Linked DNA regions of Rattus norvegicus. The protein of the gene in region 7 interacts with the protein of the main gene of each other region in a pairwise test. Links are inferred from orthologs where the notes say so. Each region holds a gene or a part of one and is shown on either strand. Other genes may lie near its edges. The genes, in order: Synj2bp, Ccdc146, Fam110a, Exoc8, Cnnm3, Prc1 and Ushbp1.

The links.
Region 1: the proteins of Ushbp1 (region 7) and Synj2bp interact in binary tests that used the Homo sapiens proteins (3 or more experiments, as listed by UniProt). The two-hybrid records come from large-scale screens. The link is inferred for Rattus norvegicus from reciprocal best matches to the Homo sapiens genes USHBP1 and SYNJ2BP.
Region 2: the proteins of Ushbp1 (region 7) and Ccdc146 interact in binary tests that used the Homo sapiens proteins (3 or more experiments, as listed by UniProt). The two-hybrid records come from large-scale screens. The link is inferred for Rattus norvegicus from reciprocal best matches to the Homo sapiens genes USHBP1 and CCDC146.
Region 3: the proteins of Ushbp1 (region 7) and Fam110a interact in binary tests that used the Homo sapiens proteins (3 or more experiments, as listed by UniProt). The two-hybrid records come from large-scale screens. The link is inferred for Rattus norvegicus from reciprocal best matches to the Homo sapiens genes USHBP1 and FAM110A.
Region 4: the proteins of Ushbp1 (region 7) and Exoc8 interact in binary tests that used the Homo sapiens proteins (3 or more experiments, as listed by UniProt). The two-hybrid records come from large-scale screens. The link is inferred for Rattus norvegicus from reciprocal best matches to the Homo sapiens genes USHBP1 and EXOC8.
Region 5: the proteins of Ushbp1 (region 7) and Cnnm3 interact in binary tests that used the Homo sapiens proteins (3 or more experiments, as listed by UniProt). The two-hybrid records come from large-scale screens. The link is inferred for Rattus norvegicus from reciprocal best matches to the Homo sapiens genes USHBP1 and CNNM3.
Region 6: the proteins of Ushbp1 (region 7) and Prc1 interact in a two-hybrid assay, tested with the Homo sapiens proteins (2 studies listed by BioGRID and IntAct). The link is inferred for Rattus norvegicus from reciprocal best matches to the Homo sapiens genes USHBP1 and PRC1.

The regions. Positions count from the first base shown.
Region 1 is NC_086024.1:106,934,585-106,938,443, forward strand, and holds part of Synj2bp (synaptojanin-2-binding protein), read right to left. Parts: intron 3,474-3,859; coding exon 3,337-3,473; intron 1-3,336. UniProt on the Homo sapiens protein: Regulates endocytosis of activin type 2 receptor kinases through the Ral/RALBP1-dependent pathway and may be involved in suppression of activin-induced signal transduction.
Region 2 is NC_086022.1:14,673,562-14,677,420, reverse strand, and holds part of Ccdc146 (coiled-coil domain-containing protein 146), read right to left. Parts: intron 1,088-3,859; coding exon 999-1,087; intron 893-998; coding exon 728-892; intron 1-727. UniProt on the Homo sapiens protein: Essential for sperm flagellum biogenesis and male fertility.
Region 3 is NC_086021.1:160,942,466-160,947,082, forward strand, and holds the start of Fam110a (protein FAM110A), read right to left. Parts: upstream 2,941-4,617; 5' UTR 2,747-2,940; exon of another isoform or gene 497-2,746; intron 1-496.
Region 4 is NC_086037.1:69,752,066-69,756,500, reverse strand, and holds Exoc8 (exocyst complex component 8), read left to right. Parts: upstream 1-1,624; 5' UTR 1,625-1,778; coding exon 1,779-3,929; 3' UTR 3,930-4,114; downstream 4,115-4,435. Other genes in the region: DNA-dependent metalloprotease SPRTN, read right to left, coding at 328-427, 1,028-1,248. UniProt on the Homo sapiens protein: Component of the exocyst complex involved in the docking of exocytic vesicles with fusion sites on the plasma membrane.
Region 5 is NC_086027.1:46,257,691-46,261,549, reverse strand, and holds part of Cnnm3 (metal transporter CNNM3 precursor), read right to left. Parts: intron 2,913-3,859; coding exon 2,769-2,912; intron 1,815-2,768; coding exon 1,665-1,814; intron 1,540-1,664; coding exon of another isoform or gene 1,454-1,539; exon of another isoform or gene 1,352-1,453; coding exon 1,182-1,351; intron 1,053-1,181; coding exon 956-1,052; intron 682-955; coding exon 548-681; intron 198-547; coding exon 59-197; intron 1-58. UniProt on the Homo sapiens protein: Probable metal transporter.
Region 6 is NC_086019.1:143,665,966-143,669,824, forward strand, and holds part of Prc1 (protein regulator of cytokinesis 1), read left to right. Parts: intron 1-192; coding exon 193-315; intron 316-3,570; coding exon 3,571-3,804; intron 3,805-3,859. UniProt on the Homo sapiens protein: Key regulator of cytokinesis that cross-links antiparrallel microtubules at an average distance of 35 nM. Essential for controlling the spatiotemporal formation of the midzone and successful cytokinesis.
Region 7 is NC_086034.1:18,095,341-18,099,199, reverse strand, and holds part of Ushbp1 (harmonin-binding protein USHBP1), read left to right. Parts: intron 1-655; coding exon 656-781; intron 782-2,152; coding exon 2,153-2,286; intron 2,287-2,425; coding exon 2,426-2,566; intron 2,567-2,882; coding exon 2,883-3,047; intron 3,048-3,859.

The DNA.
Region 1 (3,859 bases), on a different chromosome or scaffold from region 7:
TAAAGTCACACCGAGGTACTTTATATTATTTGGGTCTATTATGAAGGGTGTCGTTTCCCTAATTTCTTTCTCGGCTTGTTTCTCTTTTGTATAGAGGAAGGCAACTGATTTATTTGAGTTAATTTTATACCCACATGCTGTAAGTTTTAAAGCTAGATGAGCTATTGGTTTTAGATATCTACCTTCCTCTTCATTAACATTTCTCTCTACCACCCACCCACCACTAATCTCCGGTTCTTTCTCAACTCTTTTTTATAATTTAAAACAAAGAAATTTTTAAACTTTTTTTCTTGGATATTTTATGTATTTACATTTCAAATCTTATCCCCTTTCCCCCCCTTTCCCATCCCCCCTCCCTGCCCTGCTCCTATGAGGACGCTCCCACTCCCACCCACACACTCCCACCACCACGCCCTGGCGTTCCCCTACATTGGGGAAACGAGCTGTCACAGGACCAAAGGCTTTTCTTAACTCTTGAGACCTCCTAGTAATTTTGTTTCTCTAGGGAAAATGGACCACATAAGGTTCCTTGTCCTAGCTTATATCTAATACATTCTCTTAAATTCTGACTTATACCATTAATTCTACCCTTGGTAGAAAGGTTAATTTCAGTTTTCTCTAAGGCCATGTCTATCATCTACTAGTTATTTACTTCCTTTTTAGAGTAATTAATCTTACTTACTCATTTACCTTTTAGGAAGACAATATAGTGTTAATTTTAGTATTAGCATTAGTATTAGTAAGTAATTCAAATTCAGACAGGTTAAAGTTTTAGTTTACCAACACTAGTTGTATGACTTGTAAACCACCTGACTTCATCAAGCCTCAGTTTTCTTAGCTGCAAAATGGGCATGATTATACTCATTTCACAGCACTACCCTAATATTAAACAGCTTTACACTGAAGGTTCTGTTTTGTGCATATAAATTGTTCATAATTTTTTTTAGATAATCCATCTTTAAAGCTTTTTTTTAACAATATAGCTGTCTCTTCAGCCCCATACTAAACCCACTATTTTTCAAGTCTTTTTTTACTCGAGTATAGGTGCTAGTGCTCTGAGATATTGTGACACATTATACTTTTATTTTAACAACCCACTAACAATTTTTCTTTCTGTCCTATTGCAAACTCGGTTTGCAGTTTTACAATGTCTTTCTTCTAAGAGAGGTAGAAAAGACCTACTCCTAAATTCCTCGTCAGCATTTTCATATCAAAGGCGTTTAAGTTTCCCTATCTTGTAGACTAATGGAGAGGGCTTAGATGAAGCTTAGTAGGTGGCAGCATGGCCAACAGTGAGAGGAACTAACACAGCACCATCCACAGTGTTATACTTGTATGTCAGACACATTCTTCAGATTCTTGAATTAACTTGCATGGTTTCATGGCTACTTCTCTGATTTATGTGTATTTCTCTCTTGAAATAAGATCTTGCTAACTAATTCACAACTTAAACACAAACGTTCCTGCCTCTACTTCCTGAGTACTAGAGGACTGTATGGGTGTGTGCCACCATGCTTGGTGGTGTGTCTTCCTAAGGATCTCTCAAATACTACTCACATGTCAAATGAAAGAAAGGGAGACACTCTTATCTTTCATCTGTATCTCTGCCTTCACATACTGCTACCAAATGGGTTGGATGGCAGAGAAGTACCCACAAGCTGGTCTCTGAAAGGATCCGAAGGCTTCACACATACAACGTTTATTACTAATCAACTAAACTCTATGGCTTTTATCACTAATCAGCTGAACTCTGAGAGGCAACTCAAAAGAGAAAATACAAAACAAAACTAAAATAAAATCTTTAAAAGACATAGTCCTATTTTGTGGAAGTTCTAAATCAAGTATCTGACATAATCCTTAACTCTTAATCAAATTTTGTCTTGATCTACACTTCATTCACTTACTTCAGCCTTTTACCGGTTTGGCCCTCTTGCCCTATTCAGTTTTATAAGACAAAGTAGGAAATAATTGCTTTTTCTTAGACCATGAGCCACAATCCACAGCACATGTGGAAACTGGAAGCACTTCTGCAGGGAAAAGTCCCACCCTTCTTCGAATTCCTTTTAACTTGAGCACAGCCCTTAGAAGAAAGTCTAACTCACGGGGAATCCTAGATAGCAAGTCCCATTCCTTACACCAATCATGTGTGTTATTTTCGTAAAAATAAGCTGAGCTACAATAGCACAAAAAAATTGATTTGTAAGATTTTATAGCATGGTCTAACCATTCCCAAATGCCCAAAAATGATGGTATAATTAATGACACTGTTGCCAGTGAGATAGAACAGAAATTAAAAAAATACAGCCACATGTAAGAGTTTTAAAAGTCTTATTACACCTGGATTCTGATTTACTTTAGAAAGATTCAACTGACTGAGAGACTAAAGGTCTGGGGCTGAGGAGAGGGCTCAGCTGTTGAAATCATGCACCAACCTTTCTGAGGACGCAAGTTCAGTTTTCAGCAACCACATGAGGCAGCTCATAACTTCCTGTAACTCTTGCTCCAGGAGGATCCCATGCCTCTGGCTTCCATGACACCAGCACTCATGTGTACATTTTACCCTACAAACACACATACCTACCTACCTACCTACCTACACACACACACACACACACACACACACACACACACACACACACACTTAAAATAATAAAAAATTTAAAGGGTCTATGAGCCCATATGACTGTATTTGTTAGTCAACCTTTCTATTTTAAATTAATTTTCTGATTTGCTCATTTATTAAGCCTATGTTGAGCACTATACTAAGATATGGAAAGCTAAAAAATATTAATTCCTATTATTAAATACATAAAAATAGTAAGATTCATGATTACTATGTCATAAGATACATTAACAGGATGAAATGAGAACACGATTGACAGATATCCAAACTGTTCTTCATTTATAAGGCTTAATAATGGGTAAGGAAGCAGAAACTTAATCCTTACCTTGCTTTTTAAAGTTCAGACCATTATTAAGGGCTGACAGTCTCCCAAGAAAAGGCACAATTCAGTGTTTTAGTCAACAAAAGAGAAGTGATAAAATTATCAAGAGAAACTTGAAAAGTGTGGATGGACCTTAAATCTCCTTCCTCCTAGCCAGTCCTTCACCCCTACCTGCTTTGTGCTTTTTGAACTACGTCAAATTTGCCTGGCCTGTCAAGCAAGAATAATACTATCCTCCCAGCCTAGTGGTAAAGTTGGACGACTGATTGATGTTCTTCCTATTCAATGATATAATCTAAATATTTTCATTTCCAAAAAGGCAGGCCACAGAAGGAGTCAGATATGGTCTAGGAAGCAAAGTATAACAAAGGGAGCCGAAGCCATTTCTCACCGAGAGGATCTTATCACCCTCCTGGAGCCGCCCATCCCGGGCCGCAGCCCCATCCTCTTTGATGCGGCTGACGTAGATGCCACTGTCATTGGAGACATACTGTTGATCTGTCCCACCGACGATGTTGAAGCCCAGCCCTGAGAAAATCATGGAGGAGTGAAGGAGAGAGGGATGAAGAAGAAAGAAAGATTAGAGAAGAAAGGAGAGGAAAATGGTCTAGTGGGGAGGAGAGACTGACAATTCAGACCGTGAGGTAAGCTAAAACACAGTCATGGACAGTCAGTGAGTCATTATGAACAAAGGCCGAAAGTACCTAGATTGCTCATTTGAACCTGGCAGTACAAAGGTGCTGTGATCAGAACCATGATCAAAATGATTGGTTGAATACATATAAACTAACATGGGAAGTAGCATTGGAGAGTCTTAATGTAAGTGCTTCCGCCCACACTTGATTTTGATCCTGTTGGTGACATTTGGAGGATGTCACCTAAACATCAATCCTGGTATTCCTGTATTAATGTAA
Region 2 (3,859 bases), on a different chromosome or scaffold from region 7:
CTTAAAACTCACATGGCTATTTGGCTTTTTTTCCCCTGCTGGTACTGCAGCTCCTTCTTCTTTCCTGAACCCCCTCCCATTCTCCCTGTGTCCTATCCCTCTTCTCCCCCACCCTCCACCTCTCAGTGTACTTCCCCTTGCTCAGTCATTGGCTACTGGCAATTTTATTGGAAGATCAAAAACCAATTGATGGCAAGGACCTTCAGCATCAGAACCACCCCCTACAGCATGTATTTCCCCATCTCTGAATACTTTGTTTTCTTCCTTGACTACCGAGATGTTCTAGAGTGCCAGGGAGGACACTGACTGCAGGGAACCAAGGAGTTGGCCTGGCCTGGCTGCCTTGAGAGGCACATGTCATAGGTTTTTCAGGATAGAGTCCACGGCTCCGGGGGCACAGGGAGAGGCTGTGCGCTCCCTCAGGCAGTAAAGACACACTTTGTGTTTCTCTGTATGTTCCTTGGAGATCAAGGAAACAGGGAAATTTGACAGGACAATTGATCTTAGGCATTAACATTATATACCCTGTAAAGTTTGCAAATGTCTTTGTATCCTGGCAACTACAATTGTATTGATCCTGGAAATTGCCACTAGATTCTATTTCTGATAAATGTATAAAACATCTGATTGGCCTCAGTGTTGCTGTGGCCCCTCCAGCCGGCCTATCAGGTAACCTGGACCCCTTAAGCAAGCATGGATGCTTACAACTAGCTGTCATAACTCTTACCTTTCTTGAGAGACAGCACTGCTCCTTAAAATTTCCAGCTCGTTTAATGACATTTTGAGCCTTTCTTTTATTTCGTTTACTTTCTGATAAGCTTTGTGAAGTAAGTTAACAAACTTGTTTCTTTCATTTCTGATTGCGTCATACAAGCCGGCAAATTCTTTGAGTCTGTGAAAACATGAGGCAGTTTTTAAAAATTGAAAAGTAAGTAACACCTTTCCCCCAAACAACTAAATCATGATTCTTTTTACCAAATTCTTTCTTTTTTTTTTACCTCCGATGAATTTCACGTTTTCTCTTCCTGTATAGCCTGATTTCAAGTTTCTTTGATTTGATTTCCTTAATAATGTCGCAGTATCTTCGCTGAAATGTAAAAATTCATGTGTGAAATTCAGAAAAAAAAATAAAAAAGACAACCCAAGAACAACAACCAGAAAGCTAGGCATGATGGCCCACGTCTGTAACACCAGCATCTAGGAAACTGAGGCGGTAGGATCGTAATGAATTCAGGGTCAGCCTTGTGCTGCATAGGAAGACTCTATCTCAAAAATTCAAGACCACCACTAACAAAAGCCACAGTATAAGAGTACGCATGGAGTCTGTCAATTCTGCCTAACTTGTGTAGATGAGAGGAACAGGAGATTCCTGAGCGCTCCCTGGACAGCGGGAGTGATTCCCATCGACTACGGCTAGAGCATACTTGAGATTTCACAAGAACTGGGGAGGATAAGAGAGCCCCACAGACAGGGTGGGGGGACTACTGGGGAGGAGTGACTTAAGCCTACACCACCCAGCCAGTCTAGCACTGTGCTTACAGAGGTCAATGGAGAGGATTCACAGGAAGTTTGACCTGAACCCTCTGGCATTTTGTGAGCCACAGAGGCAATGGTTTTAAAGTGTAGTTCTGCTCATTTGTTTAGTGGGTGTGTAGTTCTGCTCATTTGTTTAGTGGGTGTATTTTCCTTTATAAGAGGCTTCATGTTGAGACCAGCTGTAAAACTATACATAAATACATTAAAAAGAAAACAGCTATACCTTCAAAAATCATATATATGTATGTATAATACATACATACTTATATATACATATGTATGTACATTCACCACTTTATACTAGTAGGCACTAGTGATGTTCTTCACATAGAAAGTGCCCTGTGGGTGTTTCTCTGGGATAGGAAGCACTTGGCGATGGAGTGTCTGTAGGCAGGAGTCCAGGGAGGAGTAGTTTCAGTCACCCTCCATCAAGGGCAGGCAAAGCAAAGTCATTTGGCCTTGTGCCGCCAAGTCAGTGTGGGTACACAGCGATTTCATTTTGTATAGTTTTCAGTGGCAATGAAAGTCCCCAGCAGGTGACCGTGCAGACAAGAAGGCTCTGGAGTAAGATGAAGCGTCACCTACGCTGTCTTGAGTGTGACAGCAACGCCAGTGTGAATCTCCACCTTGGTCACCTTATATCTCTTTTAAAAGAGAGATGTAGACATGACATAAAATAGTAAGATTTAACGCCTCTTTGTGGAAATACAGGTAACTACAAATAGTGTTTCGTACGGTAATTCCCAATAATGAAACACTCAAGGGACAAACTGTTTTCTTTTATGATGTCCATATTTCAAAAGGGAGAATTGTCCCATGTTTTAATATAAATTACCCCATTCAGTAATGAAATTCAGCTACCGTGGAGTAGTCATGCATAGATAACACATGGATCAGGTATTGGGAGCTATTAGAATGTGACTGCTTTGTAAACAGACCAGCTCTCTTCTACCTCTGGTAGACCTAACATTTCTGAGGAGAAAAGAGGGGACGTTTTCTAACTGGGAAATCTCACAGGGATGGACTCTTCCCAGCCATCAGCCGGTGCTTCTGAGAGCAGTGCTCTGGACTGACCCCGGCCCCGACCCTGACTTTGGTGGCAATGACCTTCTCAGACCTTGGCTGCTCCCCTCAGTCGTCCTCTGCTCTTCAGCTCATGTCTGCCCAGTTTCTGGAAGGCTGTGGTCTTTCTCATCTGTTTTCTACGAGCCCAATTATCCCATGGCTCCATAGGGCTCTTGTAACAGATACCAGACTGTTTGAGGTGGGTCGAATGCCCTCACCATCTTCCCTCCACGGCTCTGCTTCATCTGACCTCCGTTCTCTTAGGGTCTTACTTCTCAGGTGTGAGTGTGTCTAATTAAACAGTGAAAGTGGGGTCTGAATGGCTGGCTAATTGCTGGGGGTCTGTGTGACTAAAGTGTTCCCAGTTTTTTTGCTACAGAATCTATTTCATCAATGCTATGTAGGTGTGACCTCTTTCTAGGCAGTGAGAAAACCCCATCCCCCTGTAAGCACTCAGAACAAGAACCGAGATTACACTTATGCACAGCCCATGCCTAGGTCTCGTGACAAATGCGTAAGCTCTGCTTTAGTAATAGCTCATACCATATTCTTTTAAAAAGATTATTATCGTTTTTTTGAAACTCAATCTTACAATGTCTCTTGGGCTAAACTTTAACTTGCTGTCGTCCTGTGTCAACTGCCTCTTGATCGAGTGTCACAGACACACATACTTCTATTGTTTGTTTGGCAAGAGATCAAAGCTCGCACGGGCAAGCACTCTGGCATTGAACTGTATCCTGGCCTTTATTTACTTTAAACAAAGGACTTCTAGACACAATCCTTTTGTGGAATAACTGAGTCTAGTTTTTTTTTTTTTGTTTTGTTTTTTTGGTTCTTTTTTTCGGAGCTGGGGACCGAACCCAGGGCCTTGCGCTTCCTAGATAAGCGCTCTACCACTGAGCTAAATCCCCAGCCCCCTGAGTCTAGTTTTAAAATGTTAGCTTCTGCTGTGTGTGTGTGTGTGTGTGTGTGTGTGTGTGTGTGTGTGTGTGTGTGTGTATGTGCGCGCGCGCACGCGTGCACGCGCATGTACACGTATGCTTGCTTTATGATTGCTGCCTGTGGCCCTTTGCAGGAGTCTGGGGTGATCCTGGGATGAAGCCGCAGCTAAGAGCATCGGGCACTGGTCCATGGGATGCTGTCTGATTACTCGTCCAATGCTCCGATCCTAAGTTGCCACCTTGGAATCTGCGGCTCTGTGACTTGCAGATTCTCTCTGTGGCTCATGGCCACCAGGGACACTCACTTCATTCTTACT
Region 3 (4,617 bases), on a different chromosome or scaffold from region 7:
AGCTGACTGATGTGCTATAGTAGGAATGGAACATGAAGACGGTAAGCTGAGTCCAGGCAGACAGTGACTGCATGCTTCTGTGTATAGAGTCAAAACACCAGAACGGGGTAGGGTGGCAGTGCGGGGGGCGGGGGGGAGTGAGAGTGGGAAATGACTGGTAAAGTTAGGGCGAGGGAGATGACTTGGGGTAAAAGTACTTGCCATGCAAGCCTAGTGATCCGAGTTCAGTCCCCTGGCCCCACAGTGGAATGGGAGAACTGACTCCTCTAAGTGTCTTCTCGAGTGCCTGCTGTAGCATATGTATCCATGAAATAAAAGCAGAAATCCCTCATTTCGCAGAGTGGAGGGAAATCAGAGCTCACACTGGTAAAGTTCTCAGCCCGGGACAAGGGTTCCAAGCCCAGGCAGTTGTGTGTCCCCTCTTCCCAGTAGATTTCTAGGGTTGATCATTTTATGATAGTTTATCCGCCCCACCTGCTTTTCTGTCCTGGCTCAGGTTTGGTAGCCAGGGAGGCCTCTGGCTGCTGCAGAAGAGGATCAAGAAGGTTCCGGACAGTGGGGAAGAGCCAACACAGCTGTCCAGGTCAGACACCCGACCGGGCATTCTCCAGGGCAGGCCAGGTTCCAAGCTATTTCTGGAGTTTTCACCAGGCTCATGCCCTGGCCTGCCCAGGAGTCAGCCTTGCTCAGAGTAGCTTTGCACAAATCTCAGGAAGAGAGTTACAAGTGGGCCGCCATGGGAGGGGCAGGGATGCCTAGGACAGTGAGCTCCTGCATGAATCCTTCCCCCAAACACTCTCCACTAACAAAGTCTGGGGCTCAGTTTGCACCCTGACAAGATGGGAACAAAGGCAGACTTGCAGTGAAGGAGAGAGGGAGAGAGGGAGAAAGACTAACAAACAAGGCCTTAGGGAAGGGCCTGACACTGAAGGGAAGGTGAGGCTTGAATTAGGCCTGTGGCCACACCCACTTCCTGTCCTACAGTGCCTTCTGCCTTGGCTTGAACTCACAGCTCAGAATGTGAAGAAACTTGCCCAAACTCACAAAGCCAATGACAAACCACAGGTAGGGCAGTGACCTCATAACTTTCTGCAAATGTAATCACTGTCTGTGGCTTCTCAATTAGTTGACCCACAGTCCACGATTAGGATTGACTGCGATGCCCATCGTGCTGTGTATATAATTCCCACCCAGACCCTTTGCTCAGTAATCCACGTTCCTCTTGGTGCCGCATGAGTATCTAAGGAGTTTCTGATTATTTCCCATCAGTCCCTACTGATGGCCACTCTGTGTCTGTCCACAGCACCTGTCATTTTGCATAGAGTGAGGTAGCTGGATGGGGGAGTGAGTGTGTGTGTGTGTGTGTGTGTGTGTGTGTGTGTGTGTGTGTGTGTGTGTGTATTAACAGTGCCTATGCTGGCTCTGCTGGCCAGAGTCCACCTGAGTGACACCACCCTATCCTGCTCCACCCCCCCCCCCAGTACAATACACACCAAATGGCCAACAGATGTTGGCTTTGATCATCTTGAGTCTGCAAGTTTGGGGCACCCTGATAATTTGTGCCCGTGTTAAGCATCTCACGTGCCTGACACATTCCACTGGGGAAGATAATAAACCGCCTAATAAGATACCTCGTGCATAATATGGAACAGACGCTACTGAGAAAAGCAGGACACTCAGGGAGGGACCAGGCTACAGGAAGCTTGACGATGTGGAAAGAAATGAGGCAGCGGTATAACTCATCTAGTAGACGCTCGCTTAGCAGAAACCAAGCCCTGGGTTCTATCCTGAAAAGGCATAAAACTGGTGTGCAGGTGGCACACGCTTGTCATCAGAGGACGCTGATTTAGGAAGATGGAGAGTTCAAGACCAGCCTGGTATAAATAGTAAGAATGAGGCCAGCTAGGGCCATACAAAAGTTAGGGTGGGGAGCATGACACAAACACAGATGGACAAACACAGATGGACAAACACAGCTCCTCCAGGGCCAGAATGAGGCTCAGAGAAAGGGTAGTTCCCCTCAGGAGAGATCCTTCATCGAATGGGCGATTCCCTGTATCAAGAACTGAAGACGATTGCATAGTTAAGTCTGTGACTTTGAGCAAGAGCCTCAACTTCTCAGAACCTCAGATTCCCCACCTACGAAAGAAGATCAACAGCAGGAGAGTAGATAAAAGTACAGCCTAAATTAGATGCTCCACTTGGGAGGGCCTGACCCTGCACCCAACTCTAAAGTCCAATTCCAGCAACTCTGGCTTAGAGGCACCTCCAATGCATACAAGCGCAGGCGGGCGGGCGCGCACAGACCCACATGACTTCCAGAGCCTTTGGATCTGTAGTCCTAGGGAATCCACCCTGCCCCGCCCCTTCCCCCCAAGGAGGGCCCTCAAAGCGGGAAGCCCTGGAACTCCAGACTCTTTAGGCAGAAAGCTTCCAATGGGGAGGGAAAGACTATATTCTGAAGGGGAACTCCAAGGGCCGGTAGGGCAGGGTTGCCTAGTCAGGAGATCCCCTGAGCCATGTCCTCCCAATAGGCCCCTGAAAGAGTAAGCCGGTGGGGTACTCTGATTTGCTAGGAGCGGGGGCTGCAAGATGGGACAGTGGAACAACCTGGATTCTCTGCTGGCCCCCCTGGGCTGGACACTAGACATGAGCTCTCCTCTGTCGACCCCCTATGCTGAAACACTTGCCCGGGTTGATGCGTGGACACTGCCTAAGGACCCCCGCCCCCTTACCCCATGCTCACCCGCAGCCCACGCCCGGAGGAATCCCGCTCCTCGCTGGCTGCAGAGGCTGACAGCTGATGGTCCCCGCGGACCTGAGGAGGTCACAGCGTGTGGAGACCGGTCGGCTCTTCCGAGCGAGAGGTCCCGGCCGTCCCACAATCCCGCCGGGAGACCGTCCCCAGGGCCCAGAGGAAAGGGAAGTGAGCCCGCCGTCCCCGTCGCTGCAATGGTTCGCCCCGGACTTCCTGATTGGCCGGTCGCTTCCGTTCGAACGGCGCGCCAGCCGGGTTGCCAGGCAACATCAGGAGCGGCAGATGCAACCCAGCGGCTGCTGCCCTGAGCCCAGCTGGTCGCTCGGCCTTCCGGCTGCCCAGGCCTTGGCAGATCTTTCTTCTCCTCTTCCAGCTGGATTTCCTCGGTCTCCAGCTGCAAGCAAGGGTTGCTAGTCCCAAATTTGTTTGGTTTTGCACAGACCCTAGTACCAACATTTTTGAGTTTTGAGGCAGGGCCTTGACACATAACTGGCCGCAGCCTCCGTGATACTAGGATTTTAGGTCTATACCACACCTGACCCTCTCTTCACTTTTTTTTCTTTTTGAGACAGGGTCTCACTAAGTTGCCCAGGCTGACCTTAAATTCATGCTTTTGTCTCAAATTTGCTATATCTGCCTGCCTCAGTACATCTACCCATGAGTTGGTATTAAATGCCCAGCCACCAAGCTGGACCCTACTCCCAACTCAGCAGCTACCTCTTTGTGTGTTTTCCCACAATCCTCTTTCCCTGTCTGTTCCCCTAACTGCAATGATAAATCAGTTTTTAAATGCACACATCAGTAGTTCCCACGGTGCTTATCAAAACCAGATCAGTTATAGTATAGAAGTCCGTCCTGGGAAGAAGCTGAATTGAGTTTTCTACATAATTCTTCTCAGTACTCATGACCTAGCTCCGAGGTACCTACCTTCAATTGTCTGAACTTTCCAGTTGGAAATATTATACAGTAACTTACAACGATGCGGTTAAATAACATTTAAGAACAATGGAAGAATGTTAAGGAAGTGTCATGTTTTAAACACAGTTCAAATCACTCCGTACAACACAAATAGATAATATATAACCATGCTCTTCATGTAATAAACCTATCCCATTTACAATAACACCAACTAATTTTTACATTTAAATTATACTTTTATTCATCTTTGAGAATTTCATACACACACACAATGTATTTTAATCATATTTACTTTACCCTCCTCCCCTTAACTCCTACATCCACCCTCACTTCCTCCTTTTTTGTTTTTTTATACGCCACCGAGTCTAATCTGCCCATCTATTCGTGGCAGTAGGGCCATCCACTGAACCATGATCAAACGGTCAAGGGCTGCAACCTTGTAAAAACACGGACTTTCTTTTCTCCAGAAACATTCAGCTGTTCCTAGCTCCTCAGTTCAGGGTAGGGGCTCATAAGCCTCTCCCGTCTCTGTGCTGCAATGTTAACTGGCTTGATCTTGTGCAGACAACCACAGCTGCTGTGGTTCACAAGCACAGTGGCCCTGCAGCACCGGTAAGAGTCTGTTTTGCTCTGTTCCTTTCTGCTCGCTGGCTCTTACGCTCCTTAAGTCTTGATTCGATACAGATTTGACACTTGTGGCAGAGCACTCCACAAACTCTTGTTCCCATCTGTGCACCACTGGGCAAAAGTAACACATAGTTCCCAAAAACAACATTTTGTACCTTGCAGACCTCCTTTGGATCGTGTGGCCATTTTTGTAAGATCCCACACTCACTTCTTACAACTTGGTGCCCCATACAGGAGCTTTTTCTCTATGGCCAAAGGTCTTGGGGATCAGATTCCTGTCCTGGGAGCTGCATTCTGCTTCTGCTGCACCCTTG
Region 4 (4,435 bases), on a different chromosome or scaffold from region 7:
GATCAGCTTGGCTACAGCAAGCTCTGCCTCCCTCACCATCAAACCCCCCACAACCCTGCGCCCTCTAAAAATAGCTGGGTACTTGCATGCCAGCTCACTGGAGAGGCTGAGGCAAGAGAAGCATTAAGACCAGGGCCAATCTAAGGAATAGAGACTGTCTCTTAAAATCAACAAAATACCCTGGACGGGAATGGTGATGCACTGTTGTAAGCCCTCAGGCAGAGACCAGAGGATCTTGTGGTTGAAGATAGTATGAGCTACTATCAAGAACACATCATTGAAAAATAAAAATCTAAATGTTGAGGAACCAGTTTATGCGAAGACTACCTCTACAAGGTCCTTTCTTGGTCTGAGTTTTAACAAGGGTTCACTGAGACGGATGGAGCACATGCCTCCTCTCCCTTCATAGGTGCAGATGCCAGCACACCTGGAAAACAGTCACGGACAATGGATTAGGTTCACCCAATGCACAAAGGAGACAGAACAAAAAACAAACCCTCGCCTGGCATGGTGGCGCAGGCCTTTCATCCTAGTCCGTGGGAGGCAGATGCAGGAGGATCTCCCAGTTCCGGGCCAGCCTGGTCTACAGAGTGAATTCCAGGGCAGCCACAGATACATAGTGAGACCCTGTCTCCAAAAAAAAAAAAAAAAAAAAAAGAGCCAGCAAATCCTTATCCTTGGGCAGTTCAACGAAAGTCCCTGATAGAGGGCTTTTTAATAACACTTGATCACCCTCACACCCTCACCCACTGTTATCCTCTCTGCTCCGCACCGGGACTTGTCACGGGGCCGATGTGAAGTTAGAAGTACGCTACGTCTCAGCCTGCTTCAGCTCAGGCTGCTATGTGACGGTGTATATGCAGGGCAGATTATTATCTAGAACAGGATTTCTCAAACTCAGTGGGTAGATGAGGGATCCTGCTGGTACATCTCTGAGAGCCGTTGGGCCACGAGGAGGGGACACACCAACGACAACTCAGCGCCCTTGCCCTTCCCTACGTTCCGAGCCGTTCGTGGGCGCACTCACAGTGTCATGCGCACACTCCACTTCACCTCCACGGCCTCCAGCTGACCCCAGAAGAAGCGATCGTTAAACTGCAGGAAGAGCGCCTGCAGGTCCGGGGTGGGGTCCACCAGCTCCCAGGACGCGTCCACCAACGATAGGGGCTCCCGCGCCGCCGCGCGCCGCGCCGCCTGCACGTCCCACTCCTCCTGCAGCCGCAGCGCGACCACCAGATCCTCGTCCATCCCGATACTCTCACTTCAGCCGCTCCCAAGACGCCGGTCGGGCTCGTGAGGCGTACGGATCTCGCGAGACCTCCCGGCCCCGCTGTCAGGGCGCGCGGGCTCGCCTCGAACGCCTAACCGAAGGTGGCTCGGCTCTGCCCCGCGGACACAGACTTAGGAACGCTGGGCTCGGGGTAGGGACGGCTTCAGGAAGCCAGTTGTCTCCAGACCGCCGCCGAGGTCCAGCGCCTCACGTCAAGTCTGGTCCGTGCCCGACCCTCCTCTGACTTCCGTACTGGCCCGTCCGCGCACGCGCCTTAAGACGCTGCCGTTTCCGCGCAGGCGCGTCGTCGACACTCCGCCCCGGGCGCAGGCGCAGTGTGAGAGTCTCGACTTTGGCACAGGCGCAATGCAGCGCTCGGCCCCGGCGCAGGCGTTTGGGTGTTGCTCCCGCCCCGCTTCCTCTACCGCTTCTCCACCGGGCTCGGGTGGGGCCGGGAGGCGGCGAGTGACAGCCACTGCGGGCCGCGGGAGCAGGGCGGGTGGCAGCCATGTCGGACAGCGGGGCGAGCCGCCTGCGGAGGCAGCTGGAGTCGGGGGGCTTCGAGGCGCGGCTGTACGTGAAGCAACTGTCGCAGCAGTCGGACGGCGACCGCGACCTGCAGGAGCACCGACAGCGGGTGCAGGCGCTGGCGGAGGAGACGGCGCAGAACCTGAAGCGCAACGTCTACCAGAACTACCGGCAGTTCATCGAGACGGCGCGCGAGATCTCCTACCTGGAGAGCGAGATGTACCAGCTGAGCCACCTGCTGACGGAGCAGAAGAGCAGTCTGGAGAGCATCCCGCTGGCACTGCTGCCCGCCGCTGCCGCGGGCGCATCCACGGGTGAGGACACGGCGGGCGCGGGACCGCGGGAGCGCGGGGCGGCCCAGGCGGGCTTTCTTCCGGGGCCGGCCGGAGTCCCTCGCGAGGGCCCCGGGACGGGAGAGGAGGGCAAGCAGCGAACGCTCACCACGCTGCTGGAGAAGGTGGAGGGCTGCAGGGACCTGCTGGAGACACCAGGTCAGTACCTTGTGTACAACGGGGACCTGGTGGAATACGAGGCAGACCATATGGCCCAGCTGCAGCGAGTGCATGGCTTCCTCATGAACGACTGTCTGCTGGTGGCCACTTGGCTACCACAACGGCGAGGCATGTACCGCTACAACGCACTCTACCCACTGGACCGCCTGGCTGTGGTCAACGTCAAAGACAATCCACCTATGAAAGACATGTTCAAGCTGCTCATGTTCCCTGAGAGCCGAATCTTTCAAGCGGAAAATGCCAAGATTAAACGCGAGTGGCTGGAAGTGCTGGAGGAAACCAAGAGGGCGCTCAGCGACAAGAGGAGACGGGAGCAGGAGGAGGCAGCCGCCTTGCGTGCGCCACCACCGGTCACTTCCAAGGGCAGCAACCCGTTTGAGGATGAGGCCGAGGAGGAACTGGCCACCCCGGAGGCAGAGGAGGAAAAGGTTGACCTTTCCATGGAGTGGATCCAGGAGTTGCCGGAAGACCTGGATGTTTGTATTGCGCAGAGGGACTTTGAGGGTGCCGTGGACTTGCTGGACAAATTAAATCACTATCTTGAAGATAAGCCCAGCCCACCTTCTGTGAAAGAGCTGAGGGCCAAAGTGGATGAACGAGTGCGACAGCTCACCGAGGTGCTTGTGTTTGAGCTCTCCCCGGATCGCTCTCTGAGAGGTGGCCCTAAGGCTACTCGAAGGGCAGTGTCTCAACTGATCCGTCTCGGCCAGTGCACTAAGGCTTGTGAGCTGTTTCTGAGGAACAGGGCGGCAGCTGTGCATACTGCCATCCGCCAGCTTCGAATTGAGGGCGCCACTCTGCTCTATATTCACAAGCTGTGCCATGTCTTCTTTACCAGCCTCCTAGAGACTGCACGGGAGTTTGAGACAGACTTTGCAGGCACGGACAGTGGCTGCTACTCTGCCTTTGTGGTCTGGGCAAGGTCTGCCATGGGCATGTTCGTGGATGCTTTCAGCAAGCAGGTTTTTGACAGCAAGGAGAGCCTGTCCACTGCTGCCGAGTGTGTGAAGGTAGCCAAGGAGCACTGCCAGCAGCTGGGAGAGATTGGGCTGGATCTCACCTTCATCATCCATGCCCTCCTGGTGAAGGACATCCAGGGGGCCTTGCTCAGTTACAAGGAGATTATCATTGAAGCCACCAAGCACCGAAACTCGGAGGAGATGTGGCGTCGGATGAACCTGATGACTCCTGAGGCCCTGGGCAAGCTCAAGGAGGAGATGAGAAGTTGCGGGGTCAGTAACTTTGAGCAGTATACGGGGGATGACTGCTGGGTGAACCTGAGCTACACTGTGGTAGCCTTCACCAAGCAGACCATGGGCTTCCTGGAGGAGGCACTGAAACTGTACTTCCCAGAGCTACACATGGTGCTCCTGGAGAGTCTGGTGGAAGTCATACTGGTTGCTGTGCAGCATGTGGACTACAGCCTGCGCTGTGAGCAGGACCCAGAGAAGAAGACTTTCATCCGGCAGAACGCATCCTTCCTTTACGACACTGTCCTCCCAGTGGTGGAGAGGAGGTTTGAGGAAGGTGTGGGGAAGCCTGCCAAGCAGCTGCAGGACCTTCGGAATGCATCGAGACTCCTGCGGGTGAATCCTGAGAGCACCACGTCTGTGGTCTGAGGCTCTGGTTCGATGCTGTGTGTGCGTCTGTCTGTCTGTCTGTCTGTCTGTCTGTATGTATGTATGTATGTCTGTACACACACATGTACTACAGATGCATTGTTTGTATTCACATTACACAATATCAACACATTCCTCAGACACAAACAGCATATAAAAGTGCCCTCTTAAAAATGCAGTCAAAAGAAGAAAGATAATGTGTTAAGTGCTCCCTCCCACATAGAGGGATTATTAGAGCACATACTGTGCTTTTTTTTTTTTTTAAACTCTTTAAGGAGTGTATGGTCACAGCAGCATTTCAGGTCACTCTTTAACCTGAAACACACTTGTCACAGTAGCACATCCTGGAACATTGCACTTCTGTGCTGCCTAGAAAAATATGCAAGTCCACAGGGTTTAAGTTGTGAAGCATTCCAGTTCAACAAAATGGCTTCTGAACGGTCATTGCTGTGTAGCGCCCCTGTGTCATGTACTCAAGAAGCAAGCCAAATTGGGAAGAAATGAGT
Region 5 (3,859 bases), on a different chromosome or scaffold from region 7:
GCGGCGTCCCACATAACCCTGGGCCCCAGCACTTCACAATGCACTGTGTGGTACTTACCTGCTGTCTCTCTGGATTTGTCACCAAGGAGCCTGGTCTGGCTGCCCGGGATGGCCTGGAGCTCAGCGTTCTCTGGAGATGGAGGTAAGCTCTGGGCTCGGGTAGCCAGGAGTGCATTAAGGTACTGCAGCCGTGTGACCTAGAGGACACGAGAATGGAGAGATTACCTAGCAGATGTAGACAGACAGACAGACAGACAGCAGGGTTCCCGCCTCTGGCCTCTGACAGGCGGGACTTTAAACTGGTGAAAGGCAAAGGGGTTTTGGTTTTGGGCCTAGTGTTAGGATCACCAATAGAGAGAGCAGATGTAAGGTTTCCACACAGGCCCAGGTCCCAACATCCAGGGTCACAGGAGGCCCCACCACTTAGGGTGTGAGCACACCTTCTCAAGCAGAGTTCACTTTCCGTCCTTACACTGACCAGCTAGACTAGCCCCTTGGGGGCACAAAGGCAGTTGAAGGAGCACCAATACGCAGCCCAGACAGTCACCTTAATGAGCTGCAGGTCAGAAAGGGCCCTCACAGTGTAGTCAGGACAGTACGTGCAGGAGCGGGTACTGTCCGCTGGTTCAGGCTGCAAGTCATGGCGGATGAGCTGGCGTGAAGACACTGGGGACTGATGAGCTACGGAAGAAATAGTAAAAGGCGGTGGACGCCAACAGAACAACAGCACAGCCCTCAGACCTACCCATCAAGTCACCTTTGAGAGGGGACAGCGGGAACATGGAAGGTGGGGGAGCCACCCTGGAGCGTTTGCAGGGATCGAGTGAGCAACCGAGATAAACAAGGCAGAAATGCAGCAGCTCTGCCCTACACTACCTAGTGACGGGCAGCTTGCTGTGGGCAGACCCAGACCTGCCGCAGCACCAGAGTTGAGGGTTCCAAAGCCACGGCTTACCTGAAGATGGAGCTGTCAGGGCGGACACGCCATAGTATGTGAAGGCCCCGTTCTCGAACTTCAGGCCCTCTTTCCCGATTTCCACCTCGACCCTGCCCTGAGAAGACGACGGGGGTGGACAGGTTATTTCCCCCATCACAGGAGAGAATACAGAGAAGCCCTCAGTGTTTAAGGGTGTATGTCTGCATCACTCTCTCAGGCTTCAGGCCTGGGCAACCAGAGTTACCTGCAGGATGAGAATGAAGTAATCTACTGGCTGGCTGCGCTGGTACAAATAATGGTGTGTGGCCAAGCGGTTGCTCTCGTCAAACTTCACCTCCTGGTTGACACTGGGATGCTTCAGCAGGTGCAGCAAGACTTTCTCAGAGATTCGCAATGGGCTGAACACATCCACCTCTGCCCCACGGTGGGAGAAAGGGACAGTGTCCACTGGGGCCCAAATGGCCTGTCATCACACCTGCCTCCTGGGCTCTCCCAGTGGCCCCTGGGCTGCGGCAATCAATCCACACAAGAGAGCCAAGAGGACATATGCATGAGCCAGATGAGGTTCCCAGAACACGCCTTACCAGGACACACCACTAGCTCTGCAGAGGGAAGCAGATGCTCGTCCAGAGCCTCCAGCTCGCTAGGAGCCTGGTGTCTGGCCTGGGTGGTTTCTTGACCCTCTGGGTGGTGAGACCGGGGGCCAAGGACCACCCTTCACCCTCACCTCGGGAAAGGAAGCGCTGGGTGGCCAGGAGCAGCTGAGGCGAGATTTTTACTTTATATTCATCATCAGACACCTTGAATAAGGAGAATTCCTCCTTCCGCTTGAGAGGGGCGCCCAGGGTGACGGCCTTCTTCTTCACCTTTGTGTCTGCTGGGGTAGTGAACAGATGGCGTGAGTGGCTGTCAGCACCCAACCATGAACACAGACAGACAAATGCTTCGGCTGCCTATCCCCTTCTTCCCAGGGTTCAGGGATTTCAGGGAGGATATTGCCAGGACCCTACAGACACAACCTTGGAACTGCTTCCTTCAAGACAGTAATCCTAGTGCCCAGGACAGAGGAGGCGACAGCTCACATTGGGGCCACGCCCAAGAGGAAGCCTGGCTCTCCTGCTGTGAGGACCACAGAAGGGAATACGTGCTTGACCATCACCCGCAGCACCTAAGGGCTTCACCATACCAGGGCAGCGGCTACCCTGGTGACCTGCATCAGCCCAGGTACAGAACTGAAAGCACAGACATGGCAGTGCAGGGTCCAAAGTGGCTACGTGAGGCTCCAGCTACAGAAGGTCCCACAACCTGCTTGGTAGTGAATAATTTGTTTGTTTGTTTTGGAGACAAGGTCTATTATGTAGCCCGGGTTGGCTGGGAATTTGAGAGACTCACCTGCCATTGCTTGGCTAGGATTAAAGGCATGTGGATGGTCTTTTAAAACCTGTGTGTTGAAGGTGATCAAATTCAGCTCCATTCAGGCTAGATGAATACTCTACTACTGAGCTTCAAATCCAATTCAAAGAGTGTATCAAGGAGCGAATGTGGGCTGGCAAAGGCAGAAGGCATAGGCCTGCCAACAGCAGAAGCTTCTTCCAGTGATGGAGGGCTGTCTGCAGAGCCCTCTGTTCACAGAGGGTCACAAAATTCAACCTCAGGTTGGTCTGCCTGGCTTGTATAGAGGGACAACACTAGCCCATACCAGGGCAGGGGAGGTCTGGTCTGGCTGGAGCTCCAACCAGTTTTCAGCAGCATTAAGACCCACAGGCCTCTGACGGAGACGCCCTTCAGGCTACTGGAAGGGCTTTGAGAGAAAAGCAGTTGTCAAACTCACAGTAGTCTTCAGACTCATCCAGGATCTCAGACCTGATGATCTCCTCGATGACGTCCTCCAGGGTGACCAGGCCCAGCACCTCATAGAAGGGATCGCCCTCGCCCTCATTGTTCACCTTCTGAACGATGGCCAGGTGGGACTTGCCTGTAGGAGGGATACTTATTTGCAGCCTGCAGGGACCCCTGACAACTGCTCAGTCTGCTGAGTCAGGGGCACTGGGTCGGATCGGAGTGCCTACCGGGTTTCTAAATTCTTTCTAGTCCTTGCTGCTAGTGCTGGCGCTGGTCCAAGCTAGCAGGCAGGTGCCATTTCCACAAGGGCTGATCTGCCATGGGATACAAACTCATGAGGCCAGGCAGGAAAGGCCACAAGTGCAGCATTTGAGTTTTGAATTTTCAAACCCCAAGGCCACTCAGAGAGGCCTCCACTCAGCTCCCTCCTTGCAAGAGTGAGTCCCTTTGGGTACTACTAACAGGAAGGATTAACCTCTCCTGTGCTCCTGGACTTCCTTGAAAAAGGCTCACGATTCTGGGGCCTGCTGCGCCGGGATCAATCAGTAAGCAGGGGAAGGAAGCTCCCAGCCATGCGAACCTAAGACAAGGTGCGTGCAAAGGGACAGAAGGCCTTTCCAAGGCAGCAGGGGAACAGAAAGCAGGGAGGCTCTAGGGATTAACATTGTGTCCCCACTAGACAGGACTGAATACTCCCCAGGGCAGATATACAATCTGGCTTGGCCAGCTCCACAGAACCACGGCAGGTAATGACTGCCGTGCTGAAACAACCAGACCAAAGGCCCTAGAGTTCTCATTTTCATTAACAGGCTCAAATGCACTGCAGTTATTTGGAAGCTGGAAGACCCATCATGATGCATGCTCTGTGTGTGTGTGTGTGTGTGTGTGTGTGTGTGTGTGTGTGTGTGTGTGCGCGCGCGCGCTCGCGCACACGCTCTCATGCGCACACGCATGCTCTCTCCCTCTGCTGAGCACAGAAACCAGGGCCTCGTGGTTTCTCACTATTGCCAGCATTGACCTGTGCTTCAAGCCCCTTTGCTCTCTTCTAAAGTCATCATGTACGTGTACACACTGAGAAAA
Region 6 (3,859 bases), on a different chromosome or scaffold from region 7:
GGATTGACTCCGGGGCCTTTATACTAAAGTATCACGGGCTGGTCCTGATTTTATTTAAAGCCCTTTCTGTAAAATTTGAAATTATGAGGGTTTTGATATTAATGCTAGTTGATTTTGTGGGTTTTCTGCAATGTTTTTATTGTTTTGTTCTCATTGGCTCCAAGTCTTTATCAGCTGTCTTCTCGCCTGTAGGATCTTCTGGATAAAATGATTGCTGAGGAGGAGAACCTGCGGGAAAGGCTTCTCAAGAGCATATCCATCTGTCGGAAGGAGCTGAGCACCCTGTGCAGCGAGCTACAAGTCAAGCCATTTGAGGTATGTGGCAGAACGTAGTGCTTGGGAGATTGGTTTCATTTAGGACTGCAAATCCAAAGCTTTCTTTTTTTTTTTTCGGAGCTGGGGACCGAACCCAGGGCCTTGCCCTTGCTAGGCAAGCGCACTACCACTGAGCTAAATCCCCAACCCCTAAAGCTTTCTTATAGGAGAAGGACTAGACATGAGATGTTGAAGTGAAGCAGCTAATATTAGGTTATCAAAACTCCTTGCCATTTTTCTGTTTTATAGAGCTTAATAATGTTTTTAAATTAACTTTGAGGAAAATGGAGGCACAGATGTTTGTGTGGAAAGGGCTGGGGAAACATGGAAGAAATGGGTTAGTTGGTAAAGTCCTCTCTTCACAGCTTTGAGAACTGAGTCCAGTCCTCATAGCCATGGGGAAAAGCCAGCTATGGTAGCATATGCTTGTAACCTTACTGCTGGGGGTCAGAGATAGATTGATCTCTCAAGATTAACTGGCTAGCCAGCCTAGCCTGATCCATAAGCTTCAAACCAATAAAAAAGTTATCTCCAAAAAGAAAACAAAGATAAAAAACAAGGCAGAGGGCTGGAGAAATGGCTCAGCAGTTAAGAACACTCACTCATGCACAGGGGCCAGATTCAGTCCCCAGCACACGTGGTGTCTTACAACTGTCCTGAACTCCAAGCTCCAGCACCCTCTTCTGGCCCCAGTGGGTATCAGGTCCACATGTAGCACACTTAAGACACATGCAGGAGAAAAACTTATACCCTTATAAATTTTAAAACCAATAGCAAAGTGGACAGTCCTAGGGAGTGACCCCCCAGAGTTGATCCATCTGTTCATATACGTGTCCATGCTCCCGTCCACCCTGACAGTGAGTGGGACCAGGAGGCGAGGGTACCTAGTGATAACAAAGAAAGGGAAGCAGCCAAATTCAACTGTTTTGTTCTTTTCCATGCTCGAAAGCTGCATACCCTGAACCAACCAGAATAGGACCTGAAAAGTTGGGCACAGAGGAGCAGGGAAAGGTGGTGGTGACTGGTTCTCATGTCCTGTTTACCGTAACAGGACTGACTGAGCACCGGCATCTGTAGAGGAGTAGTTCTGGCACTCAGACTGCCTTTAAAGGGGAAGGGTGATTCATCCCTGGCAGTCAAGAGCATTCAAGAGATCATGACGTCAGAGCAGTCTCTTGGAATTACCATAAATGACACTGATTTTTACATAAAGTTTCTCTTCAGTTCAGTCTTTTGTTTTTAAATTTTCAATGTCAAAATAGGTACATGAGAAATTGGTGCACACTGGTACATCTATCTTCCTTAAACATACAGCAGTTTTTAACAATTCTAAATGAAACTGTATTTATTTGTAGGACATAGAATCACTAGTCACTCTAGTTAGTCCCTTATTTATCCACTGCAGTAGAGAAGGATCTACTAAGTTGACATTGATAAGTGGTGTTCATAGGATTTTAATGTATTTCAGCTAGTAAGAACTAGATAAACCATCTCCAGCTAACCAAGCCTTTTCTGGTCGTTGTACCCTCTTACAAAGTCCCCTAGTACCTAAGACAGTCAGATTCATAGAGCCGAGAAGTGGAGTGGACTGGAGTGGGTGGGAGCATAAAGGAGGACCTTTTGCCAAATGAGCAGTTGAGTTTTGCAAGAAGAAATGAGTTCTGGAGGTGAGTGACTGTAGGATTGCACAGCAGTATTCACAATTGCTTCTTCACTTAGACCACATCCTCATAAAGCCACCATACATTTTTTTTAATTGTACAGTTAAGTTATGGGAAATTGTAGTTTACACTTGGTTGTTGTACACATTGCACAAAACACCTTAACCTAGAGTTTGGCCCCATCGTACACACACGTTTAACCTGTGGATTAATACAGAATTGTAATCTAAACCACTGTGGATGCAGTTCAGCCTTAGGGGGTCTTACTAGCGTCATGTCCTAGTTTTAGTCTCTGGTATTGGCCAGCAAGATGAGTCAGTGGGTGATTGTCATAAAAACCAGAGGGCCTGAGTTCAGTCCCCAGAAGCCATGTGAAATGCCATTCTGTTACTGTCCTATGCATGTCATGGCAACCCTTCACCACACACACACATGTGCTACGAGAGCTTTGGGGTTTTTTGGTTTGTTTTGGTTTTGCTTTTTAGTTTGTTTGACTTTTTTGAGACAGGGTTTCTCTGTGTAGCCCTGGCTGTCCTGGAACTCATTCTGTAGACCAGGCTGGCTTCAAACTCAGGTCCACCTGCCTCTGCCTACCAAGTGCTGGGATTATAGGTGTGCACGGGTCAGAGAACATCTTACAGGAGTTGTTTCTTTCCTTTACCCTGTGGGCTGTGAGGAGCAGATTGTCAGGCTTGACAGCAAACCTTTACCCTCCAAGCCATCTTGACAGCCTGTCCTCAGGTATGAACTACGTAGACGTCAATTTTGTGTCATACTGTCAAAGGTTGCATACACATGATTTTGGTTGGTGTGACAGTGCAGGCCTGTATACTCGGCATGTGGAAACCAGACAGGAGGATACCAAATTCAAGGCCAGTGAGACCATCTCAGAAAAGAAAAAGTATTTTCTTTTTTGTTTGTGTAATTTTAGTACTGTATGAAAGTGAAAAACTGTGGTTGAATTAGTACCTGAAATATAGATTGTGCTGAGTGTGTATTGCCTTTGTCCCATTGTAAAGATGAAATGTCATGGAATAAATCTATTGCTAAGTTATAGACCACTGCTATACACTGACAAACTGCAAAGATTTGTATGTAGGGTGATAATTGGGCATTTTGCCATTGTTATAATTTGATCCTCTTTTTTTTTTTTTCCCCAGAGCTGGGGACCGAACTCAGGGCCTTGCGCTTGCTAGGCAAGTGCTCTACCACTGAGCTAAATCCCTAACCCTTCATTTTGCCATTGTTAAAGAAAAAAAATTGGAAAAGGAAGTTGGGCATAGGACCCATGCCAATAACCTGAGCCCCTGAGACAGGAGGTGCAAAGATCAGGACTTTGAGATCTTTCTTGGCCACATACTACAAGTCAAGAGAAAGAAAAACAGACTTTCCCTGCTAGAAACCCTAGGTGACCCTCTTTCGGTCAAGACTAGGCTGGCCTTGAACTCTGAGATCCCCCTGCCTCTACCTCCCAAGAGCGAGGATTAAAGTGTGCATAGCCACGCCAGCTTGAAGTGCTTGCTTTGTCAATCGCTGTTTCTCTTAGTGCTTCCCATCCTTGGCTTTTATTATTAATAATCATGTCGTTTCACAGGAAGATAAAGAAATAACTGTCTTGCAATTAGAAAAAGATTTGCGCACTCAAGTAGAATTGATGAGAAAACAGAAAAAGGAGAGAAAGCAGGAACTTAAGCTACTTCAAGAACAAGATCAAGAGCTCCGTGAAATTCTGTGTATGCCTCCCTGTGATGTAGACAGCACCTCTGTCCCCACCTTAGAAGAGCTGAATCTATTCCGACAACGTGTGGCAACTTTGAGGGAAACAAAGGTATGCTGCCTGCATCATTCATTCTACCCTGAAACTCTTCGACTTTTAGGTGTCT
Region 7 (3,859 bases):
CAAAACAGAACAGAGCCCTAGCTGGTTCTGCTAAGAATCCTCGTCAGCCTGTGGGCGTGGCTCAGGGTAGAGTGACAGCGTAGAATACTCCAATGAGGGGCTAGGGGCGTGGCTCAGCGCTTAGCTTTCAGAGGCTTCTCACAATAACAAAAATGAGTTCTCCTGAGTGTGGTGGTGCACACTTGAAATCCCAGCTGCTTGCGAGGCTGAGGTGGGAGACGGCTTGAGTTGGGGCAGTATAAATGACTCCGGGAAACAGTCTCCTAAAAAGTTAGAAAGGAATAAAGTGGAGGGCTAGAGAGTTGGCTCTTCGGTCTAGAGCACTGGCTGCTCTTCCAGAAGATCCAGGTTTGATTCCAAGCATCCATGTGGCAACTCTCTGTAACTCCAGTTCCCAAGGGACCTGACACCTCATACAGACATACAGGGAAAACGCCGATGCAAGTAAAATAATAAAAATAAATCCTAAAAAAATAAAATAAACTCTGCCTCCCCCATCACCCTGCCAGTAGGTGCACTCCCCTGGTTAGGCCTTGAGTGTTGAGAGCTCTGTGGCAGCTGGGAACCGTCCCAGGCCACATTGACGGGGGTTCCGGTTGCTGTAGAGAATTGGTTGAATATGTGAAGTCAAGGCCTGATCCCCTGTCACCGACAGGTACAGGAGCTGGAGGATTCCCTGATGCAGCTGGAGGCCTCCCCGCCTCCCTCCATGCTCAGAGCAGGCCGTAGAAACAGCAACTCCAGCAGTTCTGGGGCAGAAAGGAGACCCTGGGCACCTCAGGTAAGAATAAAGCCTTCTGAGTGAATGTCATGATGATCCCTGCTTTCCCAGTGTGAGGGGCAAATATCAATTTGTGCTTTATGGGATCCCATAATAAAAGACAAAACTTTTCCTGGGGAGACACTACACACATCAACTGACCACAGATAGGGAGCCCATGACACATCAAATACGGACACCACTAAAGTTCAACTTAGTGAACCAATGAGTTTTATTGGAGTTACAAATAGGATTATGGGTACACATTATGGGTATGAATATGGGTACATATAGGATTGTAGTTATGTACATGTTGATGGACAGAAATGATTCAAAGACAGCTGCATCACCAGAGTCTGAGTGACAGCATGAGTGACAACTCACTAAAACTGGGAACCTGGAGCTCACTGCAGGTTGGAAGTTGTCCCTTCTTAGTGACTCTGGTCTAAACCTCCTTCACACAGCTGGTCTTATCTCAGGGTCTTCTTTGCTTGCTTCTTTGTTCACTAATCTCAAAGGGACTTTCCTTATTTTGGCAGGGAGGGGCCTAGTCCAGTTTCTGCTCAGTTTCAGGGACTTCCTGAAACTATTTGGAGTTGTTTACCGTCCTGCTTCAGGAGCTTCTCTGTCAATACAACCTATAATATATGAAAAGAACTAAATAGGACTTGGAGCCATGGCTCAATGGTTAGGGTCCTAGCTGCTTTTATCGAATACGCAGGTTCAATTCTCTGTAGCCACATGGCAGCTCACAATCATCTGTAACTCTTGTTCTAGGAGATCTGATGCCTTCTTCAGGGCTCCACAGGCACTAGGCATGCATGTGCACAGACAGACGTGAAGGCAAACACCCATATACATAAAATTAAAAGAAAAAATAAAAAGCTTAAATTACCAGCTTGGTAGCTCAAAGCAGTCACCCCACAGTCACCCCAATTGCTTAAGAGCCTGACCAGAAGGATCATGACCAGTAAATGTGGTGACACCCTGTCTCCATATTAAAGAAAAAATAAAATCATTGATGAGATGCCTCAGCTTCTTGGGGCAACTGTTGCCAAGTCTGCTGATACAGGTTCAACCCCTGGGTCCCACAAAGTGAAAGGAGAGAACTGACTCCCATATGTTGTCCTCTGACATCCATTCACATGCCATGGTACACACACACACACACACACACACACACACAGGCATGCACGCATGCATAATACATTCCACATGTGTATGCAAATACCCTCCCCAAAACAAACCAAAGATGTTGTTGTACCTCAGTGGTGAAACAGATTGGTAATATGATCCAAGGCCCTGATTCCACCCCCAGCCCTGCAAAAAAGGGGAGAAAAACACTTCTGGGGCTTTTGATGTTAGATAAATCAAGTCATGTCTTCCTGGCAGGACTCCCCCATGGCTCACCCCTTTCTCCAACGCCTTCGGAGTGACTCCAGCACCCAGAGCTTTGGGTGCCTTTCCACACAGCGTCCATCCCCAGAGATGTACCTCATGGAAGACCAGATGGGACAGCTCCAGGGGTGAGCAGCTGAATTATAGCTGCTGAGCTTTTAAGGACACAATTTCTCCTGCCACTGGGTTGTGATTGGGAAGGGGAGAAAACAGCTCTGGGTGATTGGAGTGTCACTCACCTTCCCTGTTGCCCACCTTTGGAGGCAGGAACATTGAGAAGTTGAAGTGCTTCAACCGCCTCCTGCTGGCTGTGCTCCAGGGCTACAAGGGCCGCTGTGAGAGCCTCAGCATTAAGCTGGGCAAGAGAGAGGCTGAGGCCACAGCCCTGCACCTGGCTCTACAATATAGGTCTGTGCCTGTTTCCAGTGATGGTGGTTGCTGGGGCTGGGGTGGTGCTGCATGCCAGGATGCCTTATGTACAGAGGGACACAGGACCTTCAGACATTGCCTCACAATGACATGTTACTCTGACCCATAAAGAATGAGGGGTGGGAGGTGTCTTTTGTAGTTTGTTATATATTTATTTGAGACAGGGTTTCACTGTGTAGCCCAGGCTGGCCTGGAACTCTCTATGTACAGCAGGCTGGCCTGGAACTCACAGAGATCTGCCTATCTCTGCCTGGGTTGGGGTTGAATGTTGAAACATTTAGATCCTATCCCACAGCAAGGACTGTGAGGAGGTGTATGAGGTGCTGCTTGCTCTGAAGACAGCTGGTCTAGGAGCTGGAGTTGGAGCTACCAATGGCGACCTGCAGGCTGCTGAGAAGGAGGCCTCTAGGCTGCTGGTGAAGAAGGAAGTAGCCATGGATGTAAAGACACCCCAGCCCAGGTACCCACAGGAAGCACAAGAGTTGCTGGTCCATGAGAGTGATGGGGGGCATGTCCCAAAGCCTGCTGTACATGGGGCATTGGGGTTAGGATCATCATTCACTGCTCAGGGTTGGCTCTGCACTCATCATGTTTGGCTGATACAACGCCTGACTGGAGTCGGTTACTCAGTGGCACCAGGTGTGGTGACAGTCTTTGATCTCAGCACTCAGGAGACAGAGTTAGAGTAGTTCCAGGCTAGCCCACACAGAGTGATCCTGTCTGAAATGAATACAAAAGCAAACACACACATACACAAAGCATCAAGTAATGTAGACCCTAGCTTCAGCCTCTAAAACTGGGTAAAAAAAAATACAGGGGTTGGGGATTTAGCTCAGTGGTAGAGAGCTCGCCTAGCAAGTGCAAGGCCCTGGGTTCGGTCCCCAGCTCCGAAAAAAAGAAGAGAAAAAAATACAGTGAAGAGAAATTTATTAGGTTTATTAGCTCATGATTTCAGAGGTGTCAATCCATCATTGCAGCCAGGAAGTAAAGAGGAGGGGTACAGGAAGTAGACAGGATTTCACATAGCCCCAGAGAAAGATGGCACTCTTGACAAGTTGTGTGAACCTGGGAAGGTTATCAGTATACTTGTAAGGAACGTCTATACTAATGGCTGTGAGCTCCTGACTTAGTCTCTGTGCAGAGAGTCCTCAGTGCCAGTGCAGCCTTGGTGCCCAGTTTGAGCTGCGCACACCTCACAAGTAAATTCAAATTCCTCTAGTGGCATTATTACCATCAAGGCTCACCACCTTGCTACGTATCTGAATGTGGCCT